Linked DNA regions of Drosophila melanogaster. The protein of the gene in region 2 interacts with the protein of the main gene of each other region in a biochemical or structural test. Each region holds a gene or a part of one and is shown on either strand. Other genes may lie near its edges.

Region 1 (7,089 bases), on a different chromosome or scaffold from region 2:
TTTGCCATTGCCATTTCTCGGTTTTGTTGCAGTGGCATTATTATTTTATTTTTTTTTTCACTTAAAGCAACTGAAACCGTCGCGCTCCGGCATTTCCTCTCAATTGTTTGTGCAATTTTCTTTTAATGTATGGAAAATATTTCTTTTATTATGTTGCTGCTGCCGCCGTTGTTTGCCTTTTGTTAATGTGCAAGTGCTGGTTGGTTGTGGTTTGCTTTGTTGGCCATCCAAACCTCGTCCTTAACCATTTGCTGCCCTAGCGCCAACTCTCACATGTGTAACCATTCGCCACTGATGCGTTTTTAATTGTGTTTGTTTCCGCTTCTCTGTGACACGTCATTTATTAGCACACAAAAACGGAAATCAAGCTGCTTTAAGAACTTTTTTCCTTCACTCCACCAAACATACATATATCTTCAGTGGGGTCTCGATCAATCTTGGGGTTAAATATGTATCGCAGCCTGATTTATTCGCTGACATTTTGCATTATATGCAGGAGCCATTCTCTGCTGCGTTTGCCTTCGCCGGAAAACAAAAACAAAAACAGAAAAAAAAAAATGAAACAAGCGAATGGGGTTATTTCCAACAGGATTCGGGGCGAATTGGGCAGCGGAACCGGGTCTGGACCAGAAAATAATGCTTGCGAAATTTCGTTTAATTTTCGGTTCGCGGTGGCCATTGTCGTCCTTTGTTCGACAATGTCTTTTGTTGCCGATTTTCCCCATAATAATTATTGTTCGAAATTTCATTTTGAATCAAAAAGAGGGGGTTCTGAAACCAAAATTTTGGGAAATATGATTCCATAATTTAATGTAGATTTGATTTGAACGCCTGCCAACTAATTGCAGGTAACATGAACAGTCACTTTTCCCAAAATTCATGTTCCCTTCTGTTGCACTTTGATGCCCGCATCATCAGTCAGCACTCGGATGGCTCGGACATATCCTATTTCCAAATAGCGCCGATTAAATGCCCTAGGCAGCCCGTCGTCAGTCAGTTTGCTCCTTTCGACATGGAAATCGGAGCTTCGCAATTCCGGACACAATGCAGAGTGCATCCGACTTGGAGTGTCGCAGTAAATTTTACTCGAATTTATTGTTATCACTGGGCTTCGATTGTTTGGTTACATAACCTACCTACTTATCTATTCATATGTACATAACTTGTTTCGCTTAGACCCAATAAGCCGACATTTAAATATCCTTTTAAAGTCTCAAAAGGTTCGTCAGAATCGGAGACAAAGTAGCTTGAAAAGTAAATGTATTATGAGGGCAAACTACAGTTTCAATTAGAACTCATTTTTAATTATACCCCTAAGGGCTAGGTAAATGGAGGATGTGGCATACATTATTTTGACGGTAACATTGTAATGAGTGGATGCAAACAATTTTTGGCATGTGAATGGATAGTGATAATGAAATATTCCCCTCCACCTTCAACAAGATTTAAAGCCTGAATCTGAAAAGCAGACAGGTTCTAGGCTTATGGGCGCCAAGCAAAAATGTCTTTGGCGTTCTGTAGGGGCTTGCAAGATAATTAGAAAAATAATATTTTAAAACCTTTTTTAAATTTATAATTAAGTACTCAGGTTCTTTTAAGTGACTACGTTTACTCTAAGTAACTGAGTTTATATGTGGAAGTGTTTCAAATTCATTTCTGATAATTAAATTTGGAGATCATCATATATTTCGGTTCCAATGTGAGCCAGTTCAGGGTCAGTTCAGACCAATACAAATAGTTCCATAGGCGCAGAACTCGCACACAATTCCTCTGTGCTCAGTACAAAGATCGAGAAATATTTCCAATCTCCCAGACGCAGCACAAAACCAAAGATCCCTTTTCTATTATGAATTCGGATGGATTCCATTCGGATTTTATAAGATATTAGTTGATTAACCACTAGACACGGCGGACAAGGAGTCGCGAAGCTTCTTGCCTTGGTTCCGGTTAACCAGATGGAATCGAGATGAGTCTCAGTCAAATTTCAAATTAATGCTAACTGAAGTGCATGACTTTTTTTGTGTTGACCGAGATGCCAAAATTTGGCAATGGCTTTGGGAAGTTTCGGGGAATTTCTCGACAGGCAAACAAAAAAAATTAGGTATTTCGGAAGTATGCATTGTATACATTTTGCAAAAAGGGTTCCCAAATATAATGACAAAATGTTGCACATAAATTTTGATTATTCGAGACCAATAATAAAATTAATTACGTTCCCAAAGTAAAGTTTCCCAAAAAAAAACCATTAATAAAGATTTTGGAAAATTGCGTTTACAATTTTCTCTGTGCACTTTGAAGCTTGAGATTTCCTGTGCCCAAAAAGGTCCAAATTTACATTTGCCGCATAAAGCCCTTTCATTTGCCTCTTTGCTCTTTTTGTGTGCCACTGCATACATTTTACACACTTCATTATTTAATATAAAATGCATCCTCACACGCACACCTGCGCACAAGGGAAGACAATTGCTGGGCAAGGCGATGCGAATGAGTAAAAACGTTATTTAATTAATTAATTTTCATTAAAAACACGACAAAATGCGACGGCTGGTGGGTGGGGAGCGGATGGTTGCGAACAGGGTCGCAGAGGGGCGCAGAGGGGCGTGGCTGGACGGCGCAGGACATTAAAGGACGAGCAGATGCCTGCTCCTTCCTTGTCCTGTCACGCTGGCTGTCATTTACAATTTTAATCTCGCTGTGCAGCAGTTTAGCTTAAGTTCGGACGTCGGGATAATGAGCGGCCAGGTCCGCGCTTAAGGATAATGGAGCCTGCAGCTGGACAGTACTCCCTGTCCCACTCCATCTGTAATTAAAAAATCGCGCATGCAGCCAGCACTCCCTTCACCTGGTCGAATAAGGGCCAACGACCAAGTTGGCTCACAAATTTCATGGCTAATAAATCACTTTTAATATTAATAAAACATAAATCATTGCCAACTAAAAACTTGGCCTGCTAGTTGGATGCTGCAGTCTCATTTTGGCGCCTTTTGTTCGATGGCAAAAAGTTTCGGAGGAGTCTTCCAGAAAAGGTACCTCAAGAATGTGCCAAACTGGTGGCGGATGGCGAGGGATGAGCGAGAGATTGAATGGGGTTTTAAAGTTCAGGTGGGTGAAAGTTCTTGAAGGAAATCAGAAACACAAAAAGGGTTCAAAGCAATACATGGATACCGGATTTAAAATAAAATTGAATTCGGATCGTCTTACAAACCACTAAAAAAGATATTGAAAACCTTACTTAATTTTTGCAATGTGTAATGTATGCTATCATATTATATAAAATATATAATTACAAACAATTAAAAACGAAAAGAACACAAGCTGACAGTTTTATAATTATGTTAAACAATTTATCAAATCGTTAGTATGCGACAAAATGTACGATATGATTTTGACCATAAAAGGTGACTACATTTTCCCCACACGAAGGTATAAAGATAGTTGTTTTTGGGAAAAAAAACTGGCAAAAGTTAATTTGCAACTTGGCAAATCAACTGTTTTATTTACTGAAAACAAGAAACGAGAATAAAGGATTCCAACGAGTGACGAGTGACTCACATAAATGCAAACAAAGAAAGTTAATGTTAGAAAACGGAAAGGACATAGAAATTCAATGAACTGAAAAGGAATTCACTCATGAACAGTCGAGAGAATTCGCAAGAAAACAACTCGATTGGTGTAACAATTGGTTGAAAGGCTGAGAAAAGAAAGGGAATGCTAACATACCACCGATAATGCAATTGACAAATGAGTGAACAAGCGTATGTGAAATGATTTAGGCAGCGATCGACGGGCAATGGAGTAAAGGACTAAACGAGGGATTGGCTTCACCTCACTAGTGTAGTAATTTCTAAATACGCAGTCACAGCTCACATCGTATGCTTCGCGAAAAACTTTTGAATTTTTGGGTCTTAGAATTACCTTGTTCGAAAAAACAAGCAAAGCTTCGAAACTAGTCCAAAGCACTGGCCAACACTAAAAAAAAACTTGAAAATAATCAACTAACACTTGTCAAAAACTCTTCTCTCGACTTTCAGCTAGAGTAATTGTATCATTGTATCGTTGTTGTTTCGCGCCACTCGAAACCCGTTTTCGAAACTTTGGAATTTTTAGTTTGAAACTGAGTCCTTTCGTGTCTCGAATCCACTGGACTGAACTGAACCGACGCGCTAGGAAGTTGCCCGAGCACTGAACCTGTCGCACCAAGCGCGTTTCGCATTGGGCCGACCCAGCGCAATGTGCTCGTCCTTCGGCAGCACGGCCATCCCGATTTCCCAATTTCCCGACTTCCGATGTCCTGGCACTGTGGAGTCCCGTGTCCCGTGCCTGCCATCCCGAGGCCAGCCGAAATGCTTCCGAAGGACGAGCTCGTGTGGCGGACGAAGGCGTCAGTGCTTGTCCTCTGGCAACATGTTGCCAGCAACATTTAGAAGCTGGTAAATTTACTAGAGCAATTGCCTTAACTTAAAACGCAGAGATCTGCATAAGTGGTTAGTTTTGCCCAGTTGATTATTATTGGTTGAAAAACATTCTAAAAGAAAAGAAAAACGAGTTAAAGTTATACAGAAACCAATTGCTGAAATATAAAAGGCTGTATGTTTTACCAAGAGCTAGTTTTTCGGTTGTTCGCTTTCATCATTTTTCAAATGGGATATAACATTGTTAGCTGTTTTGGAATACATATAGAATTTATATCAGCCGACTTTTGACGATATTTTAAGCCTTACCTTGTGCAAAAAATTAGGAAAAGTCAAAGAAAGACGAAAGCATATTGAAAATAAATCGAACGTTAGAAAATATATCTTTATTTTGCTTGATCACTTTTTAAAACATATTAATTAAATTTCCAAAAAAAGATTTTAATGAATGCGACTATCGGATATTTATTAATCACCTAAGGACTGTGCAAGGGAGATGGAAAGGTGGAAGCAAGCAGAAGTCTCAATAGACTTAACTTTTACTTAATTTACTTTACATAGGTTGCAATAGTTCGATTAAGGCAGTTTTTGTTGTTGAAAAAATAGGAACATTTTAGCTAGACATTAACGACAACTGTAACTATAACGTTTGAAGATAACTTGTAAGACTAGTCACTAGTTTTTATACACTTCCTTCTGCTTCTGTTACATACATACTTGTCAACGACTCCAGATTGCATTGTTTCTTAGCTAGGTTAGGTAACAAAACTTGTTTTGAGCACATCATCTTATTTTATTTATTTATTTAACAAAATTAAATATAGTATACAATACTAAACCTAATTAAATTTAATGAGTACTAGCTACGGGGGCCTTCGACTCGAGACTTATGGGTTAATTGCTTTATATAATAAACTTAGCTTTTTGGACAAATTTGTAAATTTTTGAGATATTTTCACAGGATGGGATACTTAAACAATTCGAGAGACTATGTGTACCAAATAAGTGAGATCTAATTGAGTGCAATTGACTGCAGGCGTTGAGAATATGGTCAACGGTGAGCTCGTCCCCGCATAGTTGGCATGTTGGTCGCGCCGATCTCGTCAGTAAGTGTTGATGTGTGGATTGGGTGTGCCCGATGCGTAGACGGATAAAGGTCGCGCATTCCCGTTTATGTACGTTCGTTGGTGGCTTGAACATGATGCAATTCGGATTGATAGACTGGTACCTGTGCATGAAGAGTGCCCATTCGGAGAGTTTCCTTTCTTTGAGGTATAACTTGATTCGACTTTTTAGGTCCTTGGAGTTAAACGGAGTGAACAGGATTGATGGTGTAAGCCTCATCTCTTGGGCGGCTTTGTCAGCAAGTTCATTCCCATGAATACCTTGATGACTGGGAACCCAGAGTAAGGTGATTTTTTTTGGGTGAGAACTTAGAATGTGCCTAACTTCTTGTGTTGTGGGGTCATTATGGTTCCAGTTGCGTATAGCGGAAAGAGAGGAGAGGCTGTCTGTGCAGATAACAGATTTTCCAGCGTTTTTGGAAGCGAATTGGCATGCTTTGAGAATGGCGAAAGCTTCGGCTGTAAATATGGAGTTGTAGGACGGAAGCCTACCTCCTGCAATTATTTTACGGTTAGAGTCAACGACCGCAAAAGTAGTTGCGCCGGTGACTTTAGAACCATCGGTGTAGATCCAGTTTTTCACACCAAGATCTTCTTGTGCGCTCATAAAACGTTTTTGGTATTCTAGGCGACCTGTATCCTTTTTGGCAGCATTGTATATTTGAAGGTTTATGTTAGGCTGTTTGGAACCCCAAAGTGCTGGCGATTTGAAGGGCCTCCTGGGCTTAGGCAGGGGAAGGTCAAGTAGCTTGATGTAGTTGGCGCAACGTCTTAGGGTGGATATGCACTTGAATTTCCGTTTTTGTTTAAATATGGCTCCGAAGTCTTTGGTTAGCAGGCAGTTTGACGTGGTGTACAGCTTCGGGATAAGCATCAATGTAGTTTCTTCTACGCGTGATTGGATACTCGGGAGACCCGATTCTGCCAATGTGCACGCTACTGGAGATGTGGGAAATGCGTGAATGGCGCGACGGACCGCTCCGTGATATGGGACTTGTAGCTTTTTTAAGTGTGATTTAGCACACCAACCGAAGATTGGCAGTCCGTAGTCAATTTTAGATAGCATTAAAGCGCGCGTAATATCTATGAGAGTCTTAATATGTATGTAAGAATATTTAGATGATAGAAATTTAATAATGTTAAATCTAGTTTCCAGTTGTTTTCTTAGAGTCTGACAGTGCTGTTTAAAAAGTAGTTTGGAGTCGAAGGTTATCCCCAAGATTTTTAAAAAATTTACATCTTTTATTGTGCGGCTGTTAAAGACAATGTCGGAAAGGTTGCAACGTTGTTTCCGACAGATATGTAAAGTTTGGCATTTTTCAATGGCAAGAGAGGCCCCAGAGGTTGCTCCCCACGAGTTAATTTCTTGCAATATTTCTAAGAATTTTTCTCTAACTGTGTTAATATTTTTTATTTTAGTAAAGATTATTGCGTCGTCTGCGTATAGTGAGATGTAAATATCTTTATGCCGAGTTACAATGTCATTTATGTCTTCAATAGCTATCATAAATAAAACCACCGAAAGTGGCGAACCCTGCGGGATTCCATTGTGT
Region 2 (7,027 bases):
ATGGGATGAGTTGTGTGTGCTGGCAGGATCCTGTGGGGAATTTGACTTACCCGTCAGGCAGCAGAAAAGTGCCGTCCACAGGGTCAACATCTTGCGATGACCCACTCGATTTGTGGTTATTTTTTAGGGCTGCAGCAACAACCTTTGCACTCTGCTTCAAATTCTCCTTCGATTCTTTTTTCTTTCACTTTATCAGGCTTGCCTTTGTCCTATCAATTCGCACTTGGCTTTGCGAGTTTTGATCTACGGCAATATATGTTTGTTTTGAACTCGTTTTTTTCACTCACAACACTTTTTTAAGTCTTCCTTTCTATTAGCTTCATCTACAGAGAGAAAAACTATAAGTCGCTTTAAAACATGCTTGCGTTATTAGCTTTTATTACAATTATTACAAAAAAGGTTGAAGATTGCTATTCCTACAAAAATTATCTTCAATTTTTGTAAAATTAAAAAACGTTATAAAAGATAGTTCTACACAGCGCAATAAATATAAATTAAGACTGTAGCTTTGTATGCAAATTTTTCTCTCTGCAATTGCGCCTGTTTTCAATTTTCTCTTTTCGTTTCGCGTGAATTAAACACTTGCAATGACATTTAAAACACTTAATATCAATGGCAGACAATTTAATCCTTTAACGTTCGTTTGTTGAACTTTTTCAGAATCGTCCTTGTTGTTTTTCGTCCTTGTTGCTGCTGCCGCTGTTGTTGCTGCTGCTTGTTGCAATTGCAGTTGCACTTGTGTTTGCTCTTTTGGCTCGTCCTAGGCCGAAATAATATTTTTTGTTGCCCGACTCGTTTCGCATTTCCATGGACAACTTTTTATTTTCATTCCGCCTGGAACGTACCCAAAAAGAATTGATTTTCGTCTGGGGCTAAAGAGCTTTAAAAGGAATTTCATTTGTCCGGGTCTCGTTGTTTTTTTTTTTTCGTCGCATCACCCTTGATGTCGTGGAACATGAATTGATTAAATTTGTGTTGATTTTAGGGCTGATAATGGATAATAACAGACTTTAATGGATAATAAACTATGGTAAAAACAAGGATTTTCTCGAAGAGATTCTAGAAATTCTGCTAACCAATAAAACAGCTCTTTCTCTAAGCAATCCACTATTGATTTCAATAGGTGAGTGGCCTAAAATGGAATCCTTTTCCCTCTCCATGAGCGCACAAAAGTTTACACCACAAATTAGAAGAACATTACACGCCCAATCCAGTTTCCCTTGAAGGACATGCTCACATCATACAATTAATAATGGTTAATGCATAAACCAGAATCAATTTTTGACAGAAGTTGGATTGAAGTGTCTCTGGTCAGCTGCCCTTGCATATTTCATTTCCTAAAACTTCGGTGGCATGTGTCCGGATCCGAAAATAATTCAACGCCCCCACGACCCCAAAATTATGAGTCGTTTTTGGAGAACTGTTCAAAGCAGTAACGCCCCATTTTCCGGCTGAGGCTATTTTCAGACCTGCTGCCATCCATCCATTCACTTTGGCATCAATCAATTGCCCTGCCCAGGGGAAAAACTTTTATGCTACTCGGGCACTTCTCCTCACATCTAATTTGTTAAACATTTGCTGGGGAATTGCCTTTTTCACACGCCCCTTGAAACACGGTGTGTGTTTTCCTTTCGAATTTTTCCCTCTTGCACTGTGTGAAATTAATTAAAACTTAATTAATTGCAAACTCCGCTGCACCAAAGAGACGACAGACAGACTAATGAGTAGGGGGATGGGATTAAGGTCTGAGTTCAACTGCAGGACTCATTCGACATGCTGAGAAAAAATTAATCAGCCGGTACAGTGAAACAATGGAAAGATTTTCGCATGAAACAATGGAAACTAATTATGTATAATGGAAACAATTGAATAAGATTTTGTATAACAATTATTTAGATTTATTGATTAAAAATAAACAAATATTATAAAAGGACTTCAAAAAAGAACTTCAAACAATAAAAAATTTATGAATCATCAATGCACAAACTCTTGCCATCATAAATCATTGATATAAAATATACATTTTAATGCAATATTGCTAAGCAGCTTATACGATATCTCATGTATATATTTTAAAAAATATATAGTTTTAAAGCAAATCCTTAAAAAGGATCTGATCCCTGATCTCTAATTTTTTTGCCTGCAGAAACCTCTGTGTGCGACTTCAATCAGAAGTGGCTGCTGCTGACATGCTGCTCCTGTTGGGAATCCTGGCTGGAATCCTTGGCCACTTGTCACTGTTGCCTCCGTAATGGAATTAGGGAGGGGCCAGGGGTTCCAGAATGTGCGAACCAGGAGGGCCAGGTTCTCGAGGGAAGGATTCGGGATTCAGGGACGGAGTCTGAGACTCCTGCCAACGTCAGCAATGTCTCTCAAAAGTGTTAACGCACTCAATTGCTACTATTCCCATCTCCTTCGTTGCCACTATCCCCCCTCTCTTTCTGAGAGTCCTCTTGCCACTCTTTCTAATTGTAAGCGTCTGCATTTTGCCTCTCAGCTTGGGGGCAGTGTCTGCTCTAATGTTTAGTAACTGTGATTAGGAGGCAACTCTAGTTCCGGGTGGGCTTAATTTGCCCTACCCACACCCACCCAATGCCCGTGGGCAATCTTTGCTTTTGTTTCTGCCCCATTGTGTGCCGGTTAATTCCTGCTGTATGAATATTTTATTGAGAAAGGGTTTCACATTTTATTGGCTACATGGCATTATGTGCGAGAACAAAGAAAGGAAACAATTTAATTGTGTTTGGGGATGTCAGGCAAGGATTGCACATAAGCTCGTGGCCTCAAAAGTTGATACCACAACACAATGGTGCTGGGGCGGGCAAAAGTAAAATCGTTGAAAAGCCAAAGTGCTTGGCACTCGACAAAACTTTTCCATCAACAACTGCAGTTGAGACAAGCGAAAGTTTTTTCCCAAGGAAACTTAATTTTCCCCAACAGCCACAACATCTTATCATACCCATACGAGAGATATATTTCGGTTCTTGCGGCGACGCACATTGCGCATACGCACTGTGATCAGTCTGTCGTAAATTTCAATGCACACTTGTTTTCCGTTAATATTTTATGGGTTTTCTATTAATTTTTGTCACATTCTTTTAGTGTCTCCCCTCGGCCGGAATATTAGATTACACAGAAATGAATGTATTAACGCTCGATATTTGTGGCAGCGCTTTTTTTGTTTTGACGCAGATCAAAGATGGTTTGGTTCTGTTTTTTGTTTGGCATTTGTGTGTTGTTTTAATTTGTTAATTTGTATTTGGGGTCTGGGCTCCCCTTTGGCGGTCTAAATATAAAACAACTTAATTTGCTGCATGCTAATGAGATGGCCAAGGGGCGGGGCTGGAGGACGTTGTGTGGGCGTTTAACACTTTTATAATTTGTTTGTCCGCAGACAGAATTCTTTTCCTGCATTTTTTCTGGCCCCACATTTGGCAAGCAGCTGACACGCACCGAATTTCGTTAGATTTCTGATTACTTTTCTTTTTTAGGTGTATAATTTTTGGAGACGATGTCGTAAAATATTCGCGTGCCGAAAGCGTTTTAGCTTAACAATAAGAGCAATAGCAGCAACAGCAGTAACAGTAACTGGAATAACAAAAAAAAAGCGACAAAAGGTCATTCAATTTTCGACTGCCGGCAATGGGGCAATGAGGCTTTTCCTGCGTTTTCACACGTTTTCCAAAATTTACGACCCAATTGTGCCCGCTTTTCTTATCCGTTTGCACTCACACTCTCTAGCCTCGAGTCACAGAAACACACGCACATGCACACACACACACATACACTATAGTCCGGAAAATGTCGCGCCTCACGTATTTGGGCCTCACATTTCCCTCAACTTTTTATTCGGATTTTCACGCGCTTTTCCGCGCCTTCGCCTTTCGTTCACCGTCGATGTCGCGCTGAAACTGAAACAGAAACTGAAACTGATTTCTGGCAGCAGTGGAGCATTTGTTGGGGCCTCCGGGGGGGATTCCCGAACTCATACGAGCCTTTATCAGCGACGCTTCGGGTTTGTTGTCTTCGGCTCGGGAAAAGTCGTTGGAAAAGAGGGACGGAAAAATCGTGTGCCGAGCATTTCAGCTGAATTCGCCGCATTTATCTCTCTTAATTTCCTCTTCTCTTTTAATCACAACACTATGTTCACTTTCAAGGTCTTACAATAAAAGGTTTCAAATAGTTTTGGAAATCCGCGATTATTTTTTTAGTGGCAGCAGGGTGTTTTTTGAGGTCGAATTATGTTCGCAAAGCAAATAAAAGCGGACTTTACGATCCTGTTTTTAAGGGGTTAAGTTAATTTTAATGCAGTGAAGTTAAGTGACACGTAGGGATTCCAGTTCTTAAAAGCAGAGTAATATTTCAGTTTATGTTTCAGCTAGAGTGCTTTATTATAGGTCTCTTAAAAAAAAATAATCTAAGCCATTTTAGTTGAAACTTGAAATAAAAAGAATTAATCCGGTTGAGGGAGTGAAGGATCATAAAAAGAACATAATCACTATAGCAAAACCCAAAAACAACATAATGTCTTATTGATCCCATTTATTTTTTACTTGCTTATATGCTTACTTAACTGAATTTAGGAAACTATGTTATTTCATATACTTCCATAAGATCCTAAGTTCAATTTTAATAAATGAGAAAAGTTATAATATTTTTCCCAAGAACATATTCATTTATTTTAGATAATTTAATATTAAATTATCATTATTATATACGCTTTGTGCATGCTACGTTCTCATTTATTTATATTTAGGTACTTCGTCTCTATAAGGGAAGCAAACCGTCTGCCTTGGACAATATCTTGAGCAAGACTGACAGACTTAGGTCAGTATCAAAGAGAAATTGTATGGAATTTGGCAAAGAGTGCGCATGCACTGAACAATTCTTTGGTGCTCTTAGACTAGCTCTTCCACGATTTAACAGCGAATTGGATAATATGGCCAGAAGGCAGGGATTTCAATAATATACACTGAAGCTGGCACAAAAAGAGCTAATGACAATATAAATTCGCGCGGCGTATGGATATGCGTGGCAGATGGGAAACTGTGTAGCCGGCTAAGGGATTTCCCGCTCTTTGAAGGGAATGCGGTATCGGGATGATGAAAATCCGGGAAAAGTGGCGGGGTGCAAGCCAGCTGACAGCAGTTATCGCTGGAGCGAAAGGCAGTAATTAGCGTAAATTGAGTTGGTAAAAAGCGCAAGTGTTCAAAATCCACCCACTCAGTTGTGTGACACCCGCACCACCACCCCACATGCCTAGAACCAGCCAAAAACCTCGCCTGCGGCCTTGGGCTTTAGTTGTCCCTTGTTTTTGCGGCTGCTTGTGCTGCTGTGCTGTTGTTGATTATGTGGCAATTAGTTGTCGCTTTTGTGGCAAGCCACGCGGCACTTTCAATCAGAGCATCTTATTCCGACAGCCACATAATGCCCATCCAGGTGGGGCTTAGTGAGCTAATTAAACAAGCCGATTATGGCCCGACATTCCGCTGACCTTGGCCACCTCATGCTGCCATTCAGCATCCACCACCCGCTGTGAGTCCATCTCGGTAAAGTTTACCACAACTCCTAACCAACTCGAGCGCAGAACATTTCTCCAGTTATCAACTTTCTGCACATATTGTCAGAGGTGTTTAAAAGTCTGGGTCACTGTGGGGTTAAGTGGGCGTCGGGGATTCCGGGGGGCGTGGCAGCAGTCTGATGAGCGGCATTCGCTACTTGCTCGGTATTAGAAACTTTGCGAAAAGGCAAAAAACCAAAAGTTTCCAATTTGGTAGCACAGAAAATATTGTTGCAGGAATTTGCTTAACTCCAACTCGACGAATAAAAAATGCACTTCAGAAATTAGGATAAAAATGTAAAACGAAAAAGTGGAAGATATTTCCTAGTATTTCTAGCTTCAGTTCTTGGCTCTTAAAAGCACTTAAAAATAGTTCTAAAATGATTAATGAAGTTCGGTGAAAGCAAATCTTTATTTTACAACTGATTGGCAAAGTAGTTTCAATTTACTTTAATTTCCGCCCAGATCTCCACACATTTGGCAACCTACAAAACATTTACCCTAGCTCAACAACTTGGGGCAAATTCAGTTCATTTGCCAAGCAAAAATTTTATGATTTATGAAAATGTTCTACGTATATTTCTGTTCTCCTCCACTTTCAAATGGCAGGGGCGTGCTGCCGCCCACATTGTAATACAATCAGAATCTGGCTTGGAATTAAATCTGCTAACCGAGTTATTGCGCTCGAAGAGGTAGGGTGATGGCGGGGAATAGAGGTTCTGTTCTGGGGCATTGTTGCATATTCAACAATTGCCACTGCAAACCGACGAAGTAATAACAAATGCAAATTTTAAGCTCAAGAATTTTCGTTTTGCAAAAATTGTGTACATATTTTTTTTTTTGCTCATATTTTACTTATTTGTGCTTTTTGCCATGGGCAACAGCAGGCAAAAGTGTAAATGAGTTTTGCTCGGCCCTCTCTTCCCCCGACAATTGAATTTGTTTAAATTGTTGCCTGCTAAATTTCTGAGGGAGCAGCGGAATCGCATCCATGCATCAGCAATCAGGAATGGGGAGATCCACTAAAACTTCAAATAGGACACATTGTCCTCCTCGCTGAGAGCCAATATAATCAAGCGGCAGCAGCTGGCAAAAAATGATGTGGCATTGTGGGGGTATGTGTGGGATGCACTGCAAAAAAAGGCGAGTAACAGCACTTGCTAATAACTATTTGTTAAATATATTGGAGTTAATAGATTTAAAGATAAGCTTAGGACTTTGAATGGAATTTCGGTGGAATTGGGATCAATTATTTATATTATATATTTAAGTATTTATTTTATCTGTATGGGTGGGGACTGGTGCTGTTGGTGGGCAGCAGGCTGCAGGACTTGGGCACTGATGAGTTCACTTCAGTGAGCAAATGAAACGATATTGTTGTCAATTTAGGTGCAACAAAGAGCAGCAATGCGTCCCGTCTCTTTCCATCCGCCGGCAGACAAGGACAAGACAAAGCAAACAGCATGC

The links. Proteins that work in one complex are often made in the same cells at the same time.
Region 1: the proteins of dpr10 (region 2) and DIP-beta form a complex in vitro, tested with the Drosophila melanogaster proteins (one study listed by BioGRID).

What each region holds. Positions count from the first base shown.
Region 1 is NC_004354.4:21,453,551-21,460,639, forward strand, and holds the start of DIP-beta (Dpr-interacting protein beta), read right to left. Parts: upstream 4,189-7,089; 5' UTR 4,001-4,188; exon of another isoform or gene 3,916-4,000; intron 1-3,915.
Region 2 is NT_037436.4:10,182,193-10,189,219, forward strand, and holds the start of dpr10 (defective proboscis extension response 10), read right to left. Parts: upstream 3,917-7,027; 5' UTR 3,733-3,916; intron 339-3,732; exon of another isoform or gene 324-338; 5' UTR 91-323; coding exon 51-90; intron 1-50.